Linked DNA regions of Saccharomyces cerevisiae S288C. The protein of the gene in region 1 interacts with the protein of each later gene in a pairwise test. Each region holds a gene or a part of one and is shown in the gene's direction. Other genes may lie near its edges. The genes, in order: EMC5 and GPI18.

Region 1 (2,992 bases):
TGATCCAAAAGTTACAAAACTCGGCCAATAATAACAGCGATGACGAGGATGTTGACGATGAGGAATTGGACATCACTCCATTGTTTCCCATTGACAGAAATAGCACTATTTTATATCTGAACGTATTCCACGGTCTGTGTGCAGGTGCCAACAACCCCAAAATCCAAACTAAGGACAGCGTTAAGGAAATAGTTTTGCCTTTATTCTACGATTTGTTGAATGCCGCATCCATCGAATCTGCTGATATTCTGTGTCCTCTCCTAGAGAGCTTTATCACATTTTCTCTGGATGATTGGATATCTATTGGATATGAAACTGAATTAAAAAAAATTACCGACAAAACTATTAAAGCATTTATGGATTCTACAATCGGGAATTCAAAAGTTGACATGAAGTACGATATATTTGCTAAATTCATTCACCATATCCATCATTTTGAAAAAAAGGAACTGCAGGAAAAATTTTTAAACCAGATAGCTACATTGAAAATTCATTTAAAAAAATTTCTACAGGAAAAAATGGATCCAAATAATTCTAGGGACGACTACAAAGATTTAACTTGTTCTTTGTACGAGCTCTACATCAATAAACTGACAATTCTTGGCAGGGATTACCCAATCGAGGTTGATGAAGAGTTGTTGCAACTGTTTTTGAACAATTTTGTTTCCCGTATCCCTATAATGTTTCAAGATTTTGATGATAGTACCGCTCAAGAAATAAACTTTAAAATGCTAGTGTTATTAGCCACATGGAATCTGGAAAAATGGAGAGAAATAATAGAGAAAGTAAGGGATTACGAGAATTCTATTTCAAAAGATCTTAGATCAGTTTGGAAACCAATTGCCGCTATAATAGGTCGTCTAAACACACTCGTTATTTCATTGGCGGCTACAAACGAAACATTTGAAAACATAAACAGCTTGTTTTACTTAAAATGGTCAGCTTGCACTTCATTAATGGATATAATCGTTGCAATAAAAATATTTGAGCTCAAATTGCCTGCAGACGCTACAACATGGAGATATAGTATGAGTGAACAATTTCCATTTTACCTTCACGATAATGCTTCCAAAGTGCTTTTGAAAATATTTTTATATTTGGAGAGTCTTTTCGCTAAGCAAGTTGACGTCCAATTAGAAAGGGTAGCAGATGAAGACGCCAACCTAAATGATTTGCCGGAAACCGGGTTTTTCGAGAATATTGAAACTGAATTCCTTTTATTCACAGTTAAATTGAAGGGACTAATGAAACTGAATATTTTAGATGAACGATTTGCTTCCCGTGTGGCACTAAACAAAGAAAAGCTTGGCCCGCTGTTCAAAAAAATCGTAGATGATACCATAATGGAAAATCCAGAACCTAATAAAAAGAACATACAGAAAGCAAAATCAAATCAAACACAGAGGGAAAAAGCGCCTTTACAACCCAACAGTGAACGAGAAACCGACCATGCAAATACTGAAAATAATGATCCAGATATTCCCATGACAATCGATCTAGAACCTATTGAAGAAAGTTCGCAAAATAATTCAGAGTTAGCACCAATTGAGGAACACCCAACCGTGGTAGATGCTATAGACAACAGCGACGAAATCACACAAGATTAAGGGAAAAGATATACGTCAGACTTATTGCTCTTTTGTAAAACAATAAGATCTATAATATATATCACATCTTTCTTTTGAACATACATAGCTTCGTTAGCAGTTTTTGATTAATCATAAATACTTCAAATATCCCTTCGCATTAGACTATACTCGCTGGATGATATTCGGCTATGTATTTTCCAAGCCCATTCAATCGTCATCAAAGCGCCCTTTGCTTCTTCGAAAACTCGCGATGTAAACGCAGCGCAGAAAAATCTACTTTTGAATATAAAATAAAGTCAACTCAGATAGTTGTTATGCATGTTAATTGTAGCATCTAAAAAGCGATCGTAATTAAGCCCTACCGAGATACAAAAAAGCAATTATCAAGAGATGTCGTTTGTTTCCAAGCTTCTCTATACAGTCTCTGCATTGGTGTTATTTCATTCTGGTTTCTCAAGCTATGAGTTTCATCACTTATTAAAACTTAACTCGCTTAATAATGCACAAGGTGCAATCAGCAAGTTACCTAAAGATATCATGTATGAAACGTATGCAGGATTGATACTCTTTGTTCTTGCAGTGTTCACTTCGTTCGAGAAATTACAATATTTACCAATTGAGAGTAACGATGGGAAGATAATATCCCAAGGAAACTATCTAAAAGAAATCGCATTAAATAAAGCCACCAACGTGGATAACTTGATAGGAAGTAACCCTAATGGTGAGATCATATTTACTCCAAGCTTTGTTGACGTTCATATGAAGAGAAAAATTTGCAGGGAATGGGCCTCTAACACTGTAAAAAAAGAAAAATAAATAAGATACTGAAAACTAGAGCTAGAACTTATAATTTCATACATATATACATATCAAGATCTAATAAGAGGATTAGCTAGATTTTGAGCATAAATTCGATAGCGAATCTACTCGAACATCGTAACTGCACAAAATAAGGCGTCAGGTGACCAGGCACCTCTTCTATTTACACCAACACAGACGCCTTTCATAGAGGAATAGAAAGCTATATTAGAATCACCAATAATGCAAGCGTCTCCTGTGTTCTATAACGTGAACCATAAGCTTGAGTGGTTTCAAAAGGATTACGGGGCGGATAGTATCTTTTGCGTCTTCGTTGGATAGTTTGTTATTAAGATACATAAATACACACTAAATTTAGTGGTAAAATCTTCTATTCAATATTATCGAGAGTCTCGGTTTGAGGGCTAACACTCTAATGGATAACCGTTCGGAATATTTCTATTCCAGTTTACATAGTATAAGTACGATATTCATCCTCATGTTAGCGTAAGTGGAACTTGTTCAAATCATCCTGAGGTACAGACAAGCCCTTATTGATGATTCATTCTGTTATTTCAGGAACAGGTAATAGTTCTCCACCACTT
Region 2 (3,741 bases), on another chromosome or scaffold:
CATGTTTCTGAGCCACTTTGCCCTCTCTCTTGGTGTTGTATTCTTGTACGTCTTGAAAGTTTCATAGGCAACATCAATCGCTTCCTCAACCACGGAGACTGGTTGTTCGGGAACTCTTGCTATGATTTCGCCGGAAGCAGGGTCTACCACCTCAAAAACTTCGTCAGTGCCCTTAACCCATTTTCCGTCAATATAACCAGATTCTCTGAATAAATTAGGGTCGTTTAGAGTTGGTTTAGAATACTTACTCAAAGTCATGTTGAAATAGTAGTTTGTAAAATTTGCTTTTAATGTAGCTGGTTTTCTAGCTTAATTGATCAAATAAGAACAGAACAATAAAGGACGTTGCGAAATAATATCTATTGATCTCTGACGAGTATTTATACCCTATTTCCTCTCCATTACTGATGGTGATGTGATGTGATGTGGTGCTATCTTGTCACCCTTAATCCATTGGCCGCCTTTGCTAATCCCGCGCGCATTTTCCCTTTATCACCACCACGCCGTGCGATGGACTTGAAGTATTTACTATTGATAAAATAATACTGAGAGATTAAAGACAATGTACTGAATATAAACTATAGCACTTCAACGACCGCGGGCCTGAAGCGGATTAGGAATTAAAATAATTATTATAGAGATTGGGTAAAAAAATGTAAATATTTCTGGCAAAATATTGTAACTCAACTGTAAGAGGACAGCCGGAAAAAAAGATTCAGTTCATGACCTTGCATTTACCTTTGCCCTCTCCGGTGGGTTAATTTCCTGCGTTGTAGTCCCGCCCGGAAGCCTTTCCAATTGCTCCACCGTATCACTTACAGCTGGAACGCGCCCATTGCTAGGCCTTGTTAAACCGTAATCCGTATCTAAAGAGTTAGCTTGGTGAACTACAGCAGCGGGAGGTCTTTCTAAAGAATTAACAGATTCTGATGAACATTCTTGTACCAATGGCGGGGGGGCCACGTATGCAGCCTTATCGTTGGGGTGAAACTCGCCCCGCTGGTCATAGTATCCAAGATCATGTTCGTTCGCTGTTTCTGTATACTCAGGAACATAATCATCTGTCCGTTGCTGAACGGTCCCAGTATATTGTTGCTGAGACTGTCTGTATGAAGGCGGTGTCAACCATGCCGTACCTCTAATGGGAGCACGCCCCATCCTTCGTCTCCTTCTGTTCGCTACAAAAGTGAACAGTATTATAAGGATTACTGCGGCAACAAACAGCACAAACAAAATCCATATTCCTGACTGCCATGACGACGATGATGGCCCATAGTAACTAGTCACAAATTTGCTAACGTGATGGTTATCTGCCTTTTTCACCTCGTTTATCGCCTCATTTTCGTATGAAATAAGTCCCATTCCTTATTCTTAATTCGAGTTATACTTTCCTATTTATTGGAATGATCAATAAGCTATTACAGGTGCCTTTTCTGCATGAGCTTCCTGTCGGTCATTTAAATACTTAAAATAGAAAATCCCTTTTAAATCAAACTTTTTTTTTCAAGGCTTAGTTGAAAAAAAAAGTAAGCCTCATCATCGAAAAAAGACATAAAAGAGAGGCTTCGAGAGAGGAGGCGGAATAAGACTAAATTAAAATATGATTGTGGGGTTGACACTTTATTTTGTATTATTCCGTTCAATACAGTATTTACTGGTTTTTTTGACTCCAATTAGGCAGTTTGATACATCAACATCACTTTTATTAAACGAATTATGTTCTTCTCCCTCTGAAATCAACAGTTATTGGAACAAGTATTTTTGGAATAAGCTACTATCATGGGACAGTGTTTTTTTTATCAAGAACATAACTTCCAAAAACGGAAAACCTCAATTTGAGCATGAATACGCGTTTTCTCAGTTGTGGACTTTTTTCGTTAGGCTGTTTATTAAAAGTAATAACGATAGCATCTACCATGCCTTAAGGGTTGGAGTTGCAATAGAAAATGTTTTATTTTACTTGTCAGGTATTGTTTTATATTTTCTAACAAAAAAAATTTTCAGCCAAAATATAAGGCAATCACAGTTTGCTAGAACTATCGCTAAAAAAACATCTCTGTTGTTTTTCTTAACGAGTGCCGCTGGATTTTTAACAAGCATATATTCTGAACCATTATCTTTTTTTTTTGCATTTGTTGGTATTTGGAGTCGTGAATGCTCCATTTCCGTGCCCGTATTGGGTCAATTCGATATTTCGTGGAGATATTGGTTTCCTTACTCCTTTATCAGCATGGCTTGCTTTACCTTAGCATCCTTGAATCGTTCAAACTGTGTTTTGTTAGGGATTTACTTTATTTTTGACCTTATTGAACTAACAAAGAACAGGAAGTTTGTAAAAGCAATATGTTTCCCACTATTATCAGGATCATTAATGTTTTCTGCTCTACTATATCAACAATATTACCTACCATATAAGACATTTTGTCCTCAAAGGGGTGAATGGTGTAAATCTCAATTGTTTTCAAGCATTTTTATCACGAAAACTTCTTTATATTCCTACATTCAGAGTCATTATTGGGGAGTTGGGTTATTGAAATACTGGACCCCAAACAACATCCCAAACTTTTTGTTTGCTGTCCCAAATATTATTATTTTAATCTATTCCTCCATATATTTCAGCAAAATTTATCCCTCCTATAACTTGAAGGCTCTCGTATGGATCACCAGAGCACTGGTCGTCATAGTATGCTTTTTTGCCCATGTCCAAATTCTGAATCGTATAGCCTCCTTTTTACCCTTGCACCTTTGGTATTTGGCTGATAGATTGGTTAAAACTTCTGATCCAAAAAAAATGGAAAATCCGAAAGGTGACGATAAGATAGTCAAGTTTTACATATACTGGTTGGCATTCTGGATACCTTTACAGACTATCCTATTTGCAGCTTTTTTACCACCAGCCTGATCCTTAATGCTTGTATATTTCTTCTTTTACTAAAAACATATAAAAACTATTTACATATAGAATATAGAATAATGCGACACTATGACCTTCTTCATTTTCTCTTTATTCTTCACCCTTTATTTGAAATTTCAAGGTTTACTTTCTTCTTGTTAGTATACTATTAGTTAAAAACTCTAGGGCAGAACGAGCATCAGATTCAGGAAGAGAATCCCGTAGATTTTGTAATGCCTTGTCCCTATATTCCTCCGCTAGTATTTTCGTCTTCGCTATACCATTATGGAGTCTCACAGAATCAATAGTTTTTTCAACATCACCCCTCTCTGAAAAATTGCGTGAAATTAGTGGACCTAAAGATGGGTCTTCTTTCCATGCAAACAAGACTGGAGCAGTAGCAATACCTAATTTTAGATCCGCGCCGGATGGCTTCCCTAAATCTTTTCCAGACACAGTAAAATCAAGCATATCATCTACGAGTTGGAAACATATACCTAGATTTCTACCGAAATCATAGCATTCGTCGATAACGGCAGGTGATGCCCCAGATAATATAGCAGCACATCTGCAAGATTTTGATATCAAAGCAGCAGTCTTCAGATAGGTCTTGTGTATGTAGTATTCAAATGCAGTTTCTATAATCTGATCATGAGATAATTGCAGCCCCTGTTGGCGGCTTGGAACACGAAAGTCGTGCTCTTTAACTTCAAGCTTTTTAGAAGGAACCGGAAGTAGCTTATGGCCATTTTCGATGGTATCGATATCCGCGTCAATGGAAGTATTTTTCAGTTGCATGAACTCACCTTCGACAAGATTCGCAATACTATTAGACATTAGTTCTACGA

Evidence for each region.
Region 2: the proteins of EMC5 (region 1) and GPI18 interact in a protein complementation assay, tested with the Saccharomyces cerevisiae proteins (2 studies listed by BioGRID).

Annotation. Positions count from the first base shown.
Region 1 is NC_001141.2:303,092-306,083, reverse strand, and holds EMC5 (Emc5p), read left to right. Parts: upstream 1-1,979; coding exon 1,980-2,405; downstream 2,406-2,992. Other genes in the region: cohesin subunit IRR1, read left to right, coding at 1-1,607. UniProt on the Saccharomyces cerevisiae protein: Part of the endoplasmic reticulum membrane protein complex (EMC) that enables the energy-independent insertion into endoplasmic reticulum membranes of newly synthesized membrane proteins.
Region 2 is NC_001134.8:243,527-247,267, reverse strand, and holds GPI18 (GPI-anchor transamidase GPI18), read left to right. Parts: upstream 1-1,600; coding exon 1,601-2,902; downstream 2,903-3,741. Other genes in the region: UGA2 (succinate-semialdehyde dehydrogenase (NAD(P)(+))), read right to left, coding at 1-258; RCR1 (Rcr1p), read right to left, coding at 721-1,362; COQ1 (trans-hexaprenyltranstransferase), read right to left, coding at 3,038-3,741. UniProt on the Saccharomyces cerevisiae protein: Mannosyltransferase involved in glycosylphosphatidylinositol-anchor biosynthesis. Responsible for the transfer of the second mannose to the glycosylphosphatidylinositol during GPI precursor assembly.